Daphnia pulex: one gene and its partner. The main gene of each other region encodes a partner of the protein of the gene in region 2 in a complex. Links are inferred from orthologs where the notes say so. Each region holds a gene or a part of one and is shown on either strand. Other genes may lie near its edges.

The links. The genes of interacting proteins can lie anywhere in the genome.
Region 1: general transcription factor IIF subunit 2-like (region 2) and DNA-directed RNA polymerase II subunit RPB3-like share a complex: the UniProt entries of both Homo sapiens proteins name them as parts of the TBP-based Pol II pre-initiation complex. The link is inferred for Daphnia pulex from reciprocal best matches to the Homo sapiens genes GTF2F2 and POLR2C.

Annotation. Positions count from the first base shown.
Region 1 is NC_060024.1:10,721,091-10,728,552, forward strand, and holds DNA-directed RNA polymerase II subunit RPB3-like, read right to left. Parts: upstream 4,501-7,462; 5' UTR 4,394-4,500; coding exon 4,308-4,393; intron 4,249-4,307; coding exon 3,902-4,248; intron 3,837-3,901; coding exon 3,774-3,836; intron 3,715-3,773; coding exon 3,568-3,714; intron 3,502-3,567; coding exon 3,320-3,501; 3' UTR 3,249-3,319; downstream 1-3,248. Other genes in the region: transmembrane protein 170A-like, read left to right, coding at 2,560-2,683, 2,768-2,873, 2,936-3,131; neural cell adhesion molecule 1-like, read right to left, coding at 6,606-6,847, 7,049-7,217, 7,415-7,462. UniProt on the Homo sapiens protein: Core component of RNA polymerase II (Pol II), a DNA-dependent RNA polymerase which synthesizes mRNA precursors and many functional non-coding RNAs using the four ribonucleoside triphosphates as substrates.
Region 2 is NC_060025.1:403,772-410,017, reverse strand, and holds general transcription factor IIF subunit 2-like, read right to left. Parts: upstream 2,600-6,246; 5' UTR 2,446-2,599; coding exon 2,252-2,445; intron 2,183-2,251; coding exon 2,031-2,182; intron 1,905-2,030; coding exon 1,818-1,904; intron 1,754-1,817; coding exon 1,629-1,753; intron 1,569-1,628; coding exon 1,425-1,568; intron 1,366-1,424; coding exon 1,249-1,365; 3' UTR 1,034-1,248; downstream 1-1,033. UniProt on the Homo sapiens protein: TFIIF is a general transcription initiation factor that binds to RNA polymerase II and helps to recruit it to the initiation complex in collaboration with TFIIB.

The DNA of each region.
Region 1 (7,462 bases), on a different chromosome or scaffold from region 2:
AGCTTCATCTGACTGAAGAAGATTTAGACGCTCAGTTCTTCAAAGAGCACTTCCATTTTGGCAATGCTCGACGTCATACAGCGTACCAGTATGGAAAACTGTTCTACCATAACCAACAATGATATTAGCGATTCGACATTCAACTAAGAATGAATTTAGCGGTACCCACCCCGCTATTTACATCGTCGTTCTTTGCTTCTCCGTTCTTTTCTTCTTCTTGATCAAGACGTTGCTGGTCTTGATTATCGCGTGCATGGTGGAGACGATCAACAAACACAACACAGCTTCTGTCAAACCAAGAACATGAATCATTAGCAGTTGACAAGACGGGTGCCATTCAGAAATATCTACCTTGACGGCACTATAAACTCTCGAGTCTGCTGATTCAAGAGAATCAGTTTTTGAGCAATAGTACTAACTAAGAGTTTGTGCCGGACGGTCTGTTTCATAAACAATGTTGTATAAATATGCTTGTTAATCAAGTTGTTATCTATACATATTTAATTAATGAATAACAATTTATAAAATGAAAACATTATATGGTTTTTTATACTTGTTTTATTTATTAAACAAACCGTCCGGTAAAAACTGCAGCCAGTCAAGCAGGGGGAGACACTGCCCGACTGACTCTACCAGGGAGATTACCCGGCCGTGGTTAAGAGAACCCGGAAAAAGAGCGAAGAGAGCTGAAGAGCAGTTATTATGAGAGCAATGCATCATGGTAGGCTTCCGGCTTAGACTCATGACCCTTCAACAGATTTCATCGAATCATGCGCCTTGCAAGTCCCCGTTCGACCAAACATCTCCCTTCCTCCTGGTTGTCGCAGCGAGTGAGTGACCACCGGCGGGCGTTGGTTAGTGGTTATTTAGGGAAACGGGGCCACTGAAGAAGGGAGCCCAGATATGCACCTGTAACTGAACGAAACACCAAGCATTACCTCAACACCTGTACAGGTAACAAGAGACGACATATCGACAAAATGCAGCCGATAAAACAAGACCGACAGCCATCAGGCAACATTGACTAACCCAACTTTTCAACACGGCATATACTGCACGGACACAAATATAGGCAAATGACAAATTTAAGTGTGATGTTGAACTGCAAGTGTGAACAAGAATCCATTTCAGAGCATCTCTCAACTGGAAGGGACTGCAAAACCACTGTAGTCCAAACAGCAACACCGTAAACAGCTCAAACCGACCATGAACTCCTACAAAGCAAAAGAACATTAATGAAACTATATGAAATGTGAAAAAGGGTACTGATAATAAAATTTACTTAATTTAAAATTAACAATTAATTTTAATTGAAAAAGATACCAGAAAAGAATTATGTACATCTACTTCCAATATGTTATAAACTTGTTAATACTGAGTGGGAATTTTTGTTCTAGTTTGATGTGAAGGAAATTGTTAACTCAGTGAAAGGCTGAAAGCTGACCAACAATGTAGCTTCCTTTTGAAGAAACAATTATTTGGAAGAAAAAAATGTTACCCTTAATTTTCTTCATCACATAACTTGTCAGTTCAATCAAAATTAAAAAAAAAAAAAAAAAAAACTCAAGACTTCCCAAGTTACAACCAATAATATCAATCAAATTACCAATTCAAGAAGTTTTCCTGCAGTAACACTAGGGATGGGATAACACCAGCTTGATAAACTGCATGCAGCACCTGCAGCTCAACAGGACTCGACCACACCTTTCCCCAGCTGGCTGCAACAAAAACAAAATTAATGATATGACTGCCATGAAGCTCAGACTTTGTCATGTTCTCAACTTCTACAACAGTTGAGCAAAGTGATCTCCATCTCTGATCTGAAAAATCAACTAATAAAACCTATTGCATTATTGCAGAGAAATTGATCAACAAAATTTACTTTACTAGCTCTGAAGTGTTTCTGCACGAGATGAGACGTACAGCTAACAATGACCGACATTTCGACAAAATGGACAACAGTTTCGACCCACGTCGTTACATTATTTGGCCAAGTGAAACTATATGCCAAAATTGCCTGTAAATTCAGACAGAAACGTCATAGATAAAATTTCATGGCTGAAAATGAAGATTGACACTGTAATTACGTTATGAATTTGGAATACACTTTTGGTCAGCGTCTCGGAAACAAATGACAAATATTTCGTCCTCACGAAGACACTCGCGCCACCTGGTGGATGGGGGAAATCCATTTTAGCCACCTACCGACAGCCAAAAGATTCCCTCACGATAAACGAAGCAAGAGCTAACTATTTTCACCACCAGGTTTTGCTAGCCAGTAGCCACCTTATCTGCCTTTATTTACATTTTCATAGAATCGTGTTACAATGTGTAGCGTACCAAGTTGTTACAATAAGTAAACAATAATGACTAATCTACAAAACAGAACATGTATAATTTAATTTCGTAAGATAGTCAGCTTCCCAGCTATTGGGTGTCTATTTTACGCGTGCTCCGTTGTAAGCTATCATCCATCAATTATTCTTTATCTTGCTATTAGCAAACTGATTTACAACACTGCGACAGATATCGTTCTGAGCGATAACACTGCATAGCAAAATGCAGCTCACTATGATTCAAACACCAATATCTGCTGATGGCTCGCAGTCAACTAGTTCTAACATGGATTTCATCCTCGAAAAAATCTGGAACAAACCAAATGCTCCTCTTGAAGAGTTCTTTGGTATTATTTTTTTTTCACCCACATATTAAATTTAGAGGAAACATGTTACCTATAATAAAAATATTCAATGCCCAATACATCTAGAAATGTGGTACAACGTTTTCTTGTGGGCAATGTTTTCTTCCATCTTCATTCATTCCGTTGCTGCCATAATTGCATTTCTGACATTAAGGAAGCATGCAGTTGGAAGGTAAAATATACCTAAGCATTCCACATATTCTGTTACAACTAAATATAATCTTTTGGCAATAGGTTTTACTCCATCATAATTCTTTTGATGGGAATTATCACACCTCTAACAACAGGTGCAGTGACAAGCGCAGTTGTGTCATTTGTGTATGAAAACTCAGGACTAGTCATGGCTAGATGGCATGTTGCACTTTGGGGTGTGGGACAAACATTCTGCAGTGCTTGTTTTGGCTTCACTAGAATTCTTGCAGTATTATAGATCACCAATGTATTTTTCATATTCACCATATTTTGCTGTGCTACATAAGTTCCTTTTTTACTCCATGTCCACCTGAGATCTTATAAGACAAATTAAATAAGTTTGATGATATTCGGCTTTACTTAATTCTTCGTGTATTAATTGCATTAATACAAAACCATTACAATTATTTCGAACAAAATGGAAAATCAGTTGATGGCGAGGGCATCGTTTTGCACTTCGTGGCTCAATTGGGTCTGCAAATCAGAAAGTTTCTTCTTGAGAATAGCGATTCCCATTAAGACAATATTTTCTGGTCGTAAAGATCCACAAGATTCCACGTTAACAAAAAATTTGTTAGGTTTGCCATCAGGATCGTATGGGGCTTCATCTAAAAATAAATAAATAAAAATTCAAATAAAACTAGTTAAACCATAAAAATTCGTTTAAAAATTACGTTGATCTGATTCGCCCAGCTCCGAATATTCACTCCTTGGCCATTCTTCAGGTTTCGGGAACAAAGTATGCCTCAATGAATTATCAGGGTCGTACTCAAAGGCCACTCCAGCTGTTGGATTCCATTTTGCATGTTCTTTACCAAAACCTAAAAAAAAATATATATTTTCAAGAAGGAGAAACAAATTGAACTGCAACAAAATTTACCTTTCTTGGCATATGCCCGCATTTTGAGTTCTTGTCCTTTACGAAGCTTGACAATTAAAATTTCTAAAACAAACAAAAAAATTTATAATCAAACTCAGATTCCAAACTTTAGAAATGTTCTGCAGTACCATTATCATTGTCATCTGGTGGCTCTTCATCCCGTTTGGAGGTAGCTGGAACCACTCTTGGATCAGTACTCTTTAGATCAGCAGTGGTGACATTGCGTGTAACATCCTCAGAACATTTAACATCCAAAGTGAACTCCACTGAGCAATCAACACAGAAATCTGGACAAGTGCAGTCTCTGGAATACTGCATCTTTTCAACAGAGTCATCACTAGTCAGTGGAATAAGACCCACACGATGTGCCAAAAATTCATCAAACAAGACAGTGGAATTTGCTTCAAACTGGACCCAATCAATGGCTAATGTAGGGGTTTCAGCAATGAAGACTCGCCTCAGAGAGTTTGCTACACTGAAATGTGATAAAGGCATGATATAAATGTTCTCATTACCAACAATTTAAGTAAATACCTAAGGTCTGTGTCTGAAATCTGAAATTTAACATTTTCCTCTGTTAGTTCGGTCAATTTGAGATTTGGTTGATTGGCGTAGGGCATTCTTAAGTAAGTTGTATTATTCAAAACAACAAACGTTAAGAATAATTACTTGCCGGCTTCTCGTTTCGACTCTCGCTTCCTTCTGCAAGTCTGCAACAAGCTAGCCCAAACAATGAGTCGTGTACAAGAACCTCCTTATTCTGTCACCAGATGGCAGGTATTACGAAGGCTGTGCGGGAAAATTTCATTTTTCTAAAAATTGAAATTTTTTCTAAAATTTTGGAAGTTTAATGTTGAAGATGTTGATTGCGTATTATTGGTTTGTAGATTTATTTTTTGATGAAAGAATTCGATACACCGTTTCCATTATTTAGAAATTGTTTCGACTAAATATTGGGAAATATAAACCATGTTTTGTTTTCCTCTCCTATCGCGCATCAGAATGTGCGCCGCTTTTAACGGCTTAACCAACGTAAATTGACTCACCAGACTGTTCATATTTATTTTGAAGTGCAATTCACTTTTTGAATACAGTGTTGAAATAGTTATTGTTTATATTTAGATATCATAACTTGGCTTTCTTCAGATTTTTAACTTGTGAAATTCTTTTCGGTTCAGGTGCGACGAAATGGCGTCAAACGAATCGTCCGATCCAAGGTCCAAAAAGTTACCGGTATCGAAGGAAGTACAGGAAGTTCGCCATGATGGATTGAGGATCTGATGACACGTCACCCAATATTACGACATTCCAATTGCGCGGGTCCCAATCTGGAAGAAACTTTGGCTAAACGCGGTTAACTGTTTAGAAAGAATTTTTTTTTTTTCAATCAACGAATAAAAATCTCATTCTAGATGACAGTTGTATGTTTGGCATCACGGAAATATTACACAGCTAATGATATTAAAATAAAAAAAATGAAAAAATAAAAACTACACGCATATCATAATAATTAAATGATGAGAACCCAAAGTTATTTTTATCAAAATGTGGTGTACAGCCGGAAGTGTGGGAAATATAAGGAAACATAAAAAAAGAAATTTTTTGACATGTACATAAATTTAAAAAAACCCAAGGTTACGTAAGGATAATGCAAAATTCCGCAATCTCTCTTTCTCAAAAAAAAGAAAGAAAAATCTAAATTTATACCAAATGAGTATCTGTTTGTTTTTTTCAATACCGTATGCAAATTGTATGCATTATGCACATCGACGTCGGTTCTTTTTCACTTGAAAAAGAAAAATGAAGGAAACCAATACTCGAAGGTAATCATATCGTTTCTTGCCGTCCAGTTTTTGAATTCAAATTATCATTCAAAATCTACGAAACGGGATCAATTTTCATCGTAGAATAAAAAAGGAAAGCGAACAGAGTCGAGGGATCAAAAGTAATTTGAACATTGTACATCCCCCGCTGTATATTCCCCCCCCCCCAACACACCAGTAAACTTTGACTTTTTAAAATACAAAAACCAAAGATTATGTCATCAAACGCGTCAAAAGCCATGTAATATTAAGGACTGAGCTGAGGAGGGACGATTGGGGCAAAGGTAGAGAGTAGGAGCTGCTAAATCCTTGCCATTCGATATACTTAGTTTATAGGTGTCTACCTGGGGGGCTTCTCGAAGGAAATGCTAAACACACACGTAAAGCCATAGAGATATAAAGTTGGAGGAACTGGTATAAGGGGGAGGATGAGAGAACGGCCACTCAATATTATTCTAATTAGCGCACAATATTTCTGGAACCGAGGGTTATTATATAAGAGGAAAAGAAAAAATATGTACAAAAAGATTACTATCATCTTTAAAAAAAAATCTTATCAGGCCCCAATGAAAGAAATATATGAATCAAAATTAAAATTTTTAAAAATTCGGCTTTTTATTTTGTTTGAAAAAACTTATATCAGCGCTGGCCTCCCTTAATTTGATTTTTTTTGTTTTTATTTTTATTATTTTTATTTTAATTTTCTTTACAAACTGATTGAGAGAGATGTGTGACGAGTAAAAAAAAATGAGTCGGGGGAATAAAATGGAGTCCTCAAACTCAAAACTCCTCATGATAGAAAAAAAAGAGTTTAAACTTAATTCCCTCCGTTATTTTGTTTTACTTGGAAAAAAGAAAGAAAGTAAATTCGAATTGATAAGAACGGCTTTTGTATGTATAGCTGGGGGGCTGGGCAACGGTTGCGAAGGAGAATTTTCCCTTTTATCTTTTGAAATATTTCTAGAATAAGAAATAAAATAAAATAAAATAAAAAAATGGTAACTCGTATTTAGATGTAGATGTTGGCGGACGCCAGTGCGGCGATCAATAGAGTGAGGAGCGAGTGACAGAGTAGCTGCTGCTGGGCCGGAGCTGAGTTGAGAACGGGCACGGCCGCGGCTACGAGTTTCTTGGTTTTCTCGACCTGGACGTCGGCGTAGTCTCCGGTGCCGGCCGCAGTGCGTGCTGCAACCCTCACTTCGTAAGTCGTATCCTGCTGCATTCCGGCGACTCTGTACGGCTGGCTGGGCACTGTTTTATGTCATCAAGTTAACGACAAAAACAAGAAAAAACAAAACACACACAGACGGATTTAGGCATTAGAATCTGAAACTTTTTCCCAGCTGATGTAGTAGAAACGAATGGTAAATGCTATGCGGATTGACTTGAGCGGATGAGAGGAAGTGCAACGATGAATAATAATATCAGTTTCCAAGTTTGCCTTTTTCTTACTTCTTTCGAATTCTTTTTCTTGTGCCCGGCTCCACTCCTGGGACGCTTGTTTGAACTGCACCACGTAGCCGGTCACGTCCATTGGATTCCGGACGCCAGCGTCCTGACCTCGATCCGAGACCACGTCCGATTCTTCAATCTCCAAAACGAAACTATCCGGGTGTGTAATCTAGCGGAATGACAAACAAGTATATCAAGGATGAGGGGCTATCATTAGTCACGATGTCACGAACGCCACAATATTGATTGCATTAGTCAGATACACTAGGTTGGATCCTTCCGCTCTATAGAGTTCCCGGAAGTCAAACTATTATTTATTATTATTCCTGAACTGCGATCCGCAGCGGAGTAGAGAGAGAAACTGACTTTGATTTTGAAAGTAGGAGCTGAGGGTTTGGTGGCCTGTTCCAGGAC
Region 2 (6,246 bases):
CCCACATAATTTATTTCAGTTTGCTTTTTAAAATTTTTTCAACTATCATTATAGAAATAATAAATTATAAACAAGTTTAATTGGTTCATATTTGTTTAAAAGATTTCAAAAGTTTTATTGTAGATTTTCCATCTGTCAACTCCGACAGGAAGTCCGAAATTCAACAGCGTTGGACGAAATCAAATGTTATAAGTAGGACTGTAAAACGCCATTTGAAGCATGTGAAGCTCCCCCATCTGGTTTGATTGCTGCTAGCCAGTTTTGTATTCGTTTCGGTAAATATCTTATTTAATTCATGCAACTAAGACTGAATTTTGCATTCCTTTGAACCACACTAGCTCTACTTAGCTTATAGTGGCCAAGCGGACATGCTAAATTAAAATTTATTCTGATCTACCGTTGTCTCCTTATTTGGAACACATGGATTGAACCGAATTAAAACATTTGATAGTAGTAACATAAAGTAATTGATGTTGAAGGCACTGAGGCACACTGTGGATAATTTGTTGAAGTGTGCTTTAAATGGTTTTCTATGATGTTGAAATGCTAATTCTTATTCTGTTGTTGTACAGGAACCCTCACATCGCTACCTGAAGTTGCAGATTTCCTGGTGAAATAATTCTGTTTGGTGTATTTTATAGTATCTATATTGACAAATAAACAATTTTTAAAATTACATTCTGGCAAATTGTAACTAGTGAAAATTAAAACAAATTAATTTGTAGATAACTATATTCAGCGTTAAATTGTTGGTTGAATCATGGTTGGATGATGAATCTCATCAAGAGACAGGCTGTTGCTATTCTAATAGATTATGGCTTTTGACTGAGATAATATAATGTTAACTGTAAGTAGGGTACCATGAAAAGCTGTAAATATTAACATGTAACCTTTTACTTGATTCTTGTTTTTACAATCTTACGATTCTGTTTAAAAGGGGTTCCTCGTTAGCACATAAGCCTACTTTTCGCACTGAACTCGCTCATGAAATCATTTCTTCCTGATATGGTTGGGATAAATTATATTGGTAAAATTTTCAAGTTCGCATCGATGTATTGGACCACACACTTGTTAGCACGGGAATTTTTAGACGAAGGGAAAATTGTAGCCTAAGAGAACATTTTATCGAACAATTTCAAGGGCAGTTGAAACCCATTTGAGTTATCTGAAGTTATGTGCATCCAAGAGCTGTTTAGTAGTTTTCTGAAAATCACAGCTTTATTAGAAAGTTAATGGACTGTTTACTTATTAGTCCTTGTCTTCATCTTTGTAGTGGCGGTATTCCGGTTTCAGTTCCCACATGTTTTTGTGAGGATTCTTCAAATTGTATACACAAACATCCTTCAAAATTTCCTTGAGGTAGGTCTATAAAAGCAGAGGGTTTTAAAAGTGCAAATGCTTGTATGAAAACAACTTTTTCTTACCACAGGTTGGTTGGTGAGTTTTACCAAGTCCTTGATGTTGTAGTACTGATGCTTTTCAAAAGCTGCAAACAGCATGTCCATAACTTTGCCCTTATCATCTCTGGCTTTCTTACCCTCAGCTTTCTTCTTTTCGTCGAATTCTTTCTGTAATCAGGAATAAAAGGTTATGATGTACCAAAAATAGACGAGAATTGCTATATTTACATTATGCTTGTGGTCAGAGATGGGTTTGTAACTTTGAACCACTCGATCCAATTGCTTCACAATTCTTGTAGGTTGGGCAGCTTTAATCAAAGAATCCCTTTTGAGTTTCATGTAACTTGCATTTGCTGATGAAAATAAAAATCATTAATGCTCACTTCAAGCTTAGGAACTTTATTTTGTTGGTCTCACCTGTTGGTCTACATTCAAGCTTCTGGGCAACTTTGCCTTCAAATATGATCTTCTCAGTTTCCATAGGTGAGTTCGCGGTGGCTGGAGCTGGGGAAACAATACAAAAATGTCAATATTAAATTAGATTAATTGCAAGCACGCCACTTTAAATATCATGCTTTAAGCTCAGGCCTAAAATAAAAATCTTCCCCATAACTGTCAAGTAGTACGTACTGGTTTGTTGAGAAAATACACCCAATGTTTGTGAAGTAATGTGTGAAACAATCAATCCATGCTCTTTAGGAATAGGTTCCTCTCCTTTTTCCTGGAGACACATAATAGCTTCCGACAGAATAAGTTTGACTTGAGACTTTTGTCCTTGCACCCTGAACAAGAGTTGTAATGAGTTAATAAAGGATTTGTCGATTTGTTAACATAAACCAATTGATGCATACCTAGTAATATTCAGTTGTCCAGCTGTAATATTTCCAGGGCATTTATCCCATCGACTTGAAATGTATTTTGGTACTTTCACCAACCAAACACCCCGACTAGCTGAAGACATTTCCATTTCCCTTTCATAAACGATGACATCTTTGTCTTTCTCCTTGTCTTTCTCTTTTTCTTTCTCCTTTTTCTTTGACTCCATGGTTTTCAGTTTTAAAAATTCTGCTTCAACGTACTAGAAAAACCTATTCAAGAGAATGTAGTTCTAAATATTGGCCGGCTTTAATAAAACAAGTAATCGTTTCTTCTTTCAATCGACAACGTCACACAACTGAAAAGGTCTTCAAGTCTATCGTCTGCTATAAATCGCGCCAGAGCGCGTTCTTTTGTTTTATTAGATAAGTTTACGCAACCATCAGTTCGTCAACGCATTTTTCTTTAATAAAACCCCCCAAAAATCGAAATGGCATGGAAATTTAATGGCCTTAAAAAAAATAACTGATCAAATTTGTTGTTGCACAATCCCTTTAATAAGCTTTTAACAGGAAATAGTTTGATTGGCCAACATTTTTTCATTTAGCTTTTTACTCCTCCTCAAATGTAACCCTGATTGCATATCTCAATGCTCAAATCTCAAATTTGTTTCAGTATGAATTCCCTAATATTATTATTATTATTATTTTCTTGCCTTTCTAGATTTATAGGAATTTGCAAATCAGGACGTCTATCTGTGTAACTTTCAGACGCGGAATAATGTGGTATTTTTCATAACGCCCCGTGAGAAGTGATTCGGAATGTTTGGAATTTTAATAAGTACGAAATCACCGGAATGCCTGGCCAAGTATATAATCGCCCTCTGAAACAAAGCAGAAACTGGGAAACCTCTTTTTGTACTAGTTGGTCTGATTCGATCGGAATATGTATTACCACTTGTAACTGGATTCAAAATCAAACAATTCTACGAAATCGAGAAAGTTATAACAACTAGATTGGTACTTAAGGCGATGTCTTGTGGGGGGACAATGTCCGTCCACTAACTCCTTTTACTATAATTGAGTTCTATCACTAGTACGAATTGCTATACATGTATAACATAGATTTGTCTAAACAAGAGATGGCGAAACGGTAAAAATAAAAAGAGCACAGCAATTTGAAATTCTAAACGGGTTTCCCTTTCTCATGGTGGCCGCTGGTGGCGGAATCAAGAAGCTGACGACCAGGCCAGCACTCCACTCCGTGATCGAATATACAACATACTTGATTGCGCTTTGAAATGGACAGTGCGAGAGAATAGAAACATATATTTTAGTTTGAAAGTTGTATACACTAGTCCAAGATAATTGAAAGAAATTATCTACCGAAGAAAGAACGAATAGGCTATTTTAAATTTGATCATTTTACACTGGTGAGTATAAGCTATAGTGAGTCTAAATATTCTTGTCGAATGCAAACGAACAGAGAATAAAAGTCATAACCCAAGTTGCGGTTATCGCACTTTAAACTGCAATTTGTATTCCAATTAGTACATTCAAGGTGATTAAGAAAATGTGTGAATTAAATATTAGGCTATTAATTCGGTTATTGCGATTTATTAAAAGATATTTCATATTCAACCTATGATTCTTTCATTGTTATTTATTTCATAATAAAATCAAAGAGTAAGAAAACATTTTATGAGCTTTTATGAAAGTAAAGTTGTGCAGCCAACAATCTCAAGTATGCCATCGCTTCAAGACCAACTCTTCCAGGAACACATAAAATCATGAATATTTAATTTCGCCATTCGTCTTCACGGCTAATTTTTCTTGCCTCTTGCGTCTTGCAATGTGTGAGTTCTAATTAGTTTAATTACTATTCTCCAGCTTCCTACCGTCTCCCTCTAAGCCAAAAAATAAAAATAAAATAAAAAACAACTTTTTTTAATTAGTGAACCCATGAAAGTTAAAGAGAAAAAATATGAAGGATGATCCGTGACCGCCCATGTGACTGGATTTAATACGTTATCCTGTCTATTTTAATCTTTACAATAACAATAACAATCTGCAACAATTATGAATAGAGAAATTTCTAATTGATCGCAAAAGTACAGACTACTAAAACAGAAATGACAAATGTGTCGCGCATTATCTGACCTATATATAAACGCCACATCGCTCATTGGCGATCATAAAATGCTACCTTGCCCCCACTAGATAACACAGAAAAATAAGAAAATAAAAAACCGTCACCTGTCGGCCAAATTGGAATCATCGGTTAGCTCACAAAGAATATTCCCTGCTCCACCCCCATCGGTCTTATTTTAAAAAAAGTTCCTACCCTGAAAGTCGTCGTCGTCGGCAACCATCGTCGTTTTCTTTCGGGCTGTTTAAGTATGCTGGGCGCATATACATTGGTTGCTGCGAGTAGTATCATTACGGGCGTAAATAGACATACACCTTTGCGATTTTTATAGCGTGTCGGGAGACTTGTAGCCCAGCGGGAAGAAACGAAAAAAACCGGTTGACGAACGAATAAGTCGCGTAATAAATCATCAACTTTCTCTACCTACAACATGATGACATGAAACGTCCAAGACAGCTGGATTTTTTTCTTTTCTTTCTTTCATTCTATCAAACACTCCCGATTCTTAGAATATCGCCGAGTGGCTGGCACATCAACTCTTATACGTATAGTTGCTCATTGCATAACAATCTTACCCAAAAGGAATATTATAAATCTAAAAGAAAATAAAATACAGGGTCGCTAAATCAAAAATAACCCATTTGTAGATACTGGGAATAAAACTCTGGCTTGATAGTTTCAATCATCGATAACAGTCAAAATGTATAACCTGACATAACCGGTAACTAAAAATTCTAGAAGCGCATCTAGCGAGCAATATATAGAGCTAGTGGCTTGTGTCACCCAGGGTATACAGTATATAGCGCTTATAACAAAATCATGTGTCTAATTCGTAAGTAGGCTAGTGTATACACGTCTAGCTCGAGGCCATGGGAAATAAATGGACCACTTTCCCTGAACCCAGTTACCCAGCGTTTCGCTTCGAGTCATCAGCCAGCCAGCCAGCCACACTCTTCACGGTTGCTGGCATCGCAGGAATTCTCTCCATGCGTAGATACGAAAATACCGTTGCCAAGCAGCGCACTCTATTAGCCGTAAAATTAGAACATCATCAAAAAGATATTTTTTTTTTAATGAGAAAAACTGGGAAAATGCGAAAATGTTTTTCCAAAATTAAAAAAACTAAAAAAAAACTAACGTGACAAGGTGTAATTATACAGGTGAACCCTCGCGTTTCCCTTTTTTGCGTCAGCAGAAACCGGTGGTTATATTCTATCCATGGCGCACATCTATGCAGCGCGCATATGCACACACACACAGCCAGTGCCAAATTGGTGATGAGGGGAAAGTTAATTGACTTATAAGAGCTGGGCGCGAGCGCATTGTTGTTGTTCGCTGGATGTTCCACCGACTTCTGGCCCGTCAAAATGATCAGCCAAAAGTTCTTTTTTTTTCCCATTATGTTGCGCATTCCTGATGTAACGGCCAACATCCATATAAGCGCACAAGCCCACCACCCCCACTAGAAAATAAAAATCGTGGTTTATTTATAGCGCGCCTATCTTTGCATAATCACAACCAAGGGATAGATAGAGAGAGATATGGTCTGTTGAAAAATTCAGTGATATTCCATCAAGCATTTAGGCGAGGGCGACGTTATAATTCGATGACGAAACAGCAGCTCAGCCAAAAAGGGGGTCGTTGACGGCTTGGATGTTGTTTCGCTGTTACATACAAGCTTCGACATAGAGTAAACCTGTTGGACAGGTTGAAAAAGTCGATGGAAAGTTAGGCACAAATGGGCTGCTGGCGCAGGCTCTTTATTTATTTTTGTTTTTCGTCCCATTGGTTTACGACATCTCCGCCAGCTACGCCATAGAGAAAAATATCAAATATGTGACATGGATTTCTGATTGGTCAAGCCCTAATATAACGTCGTCAG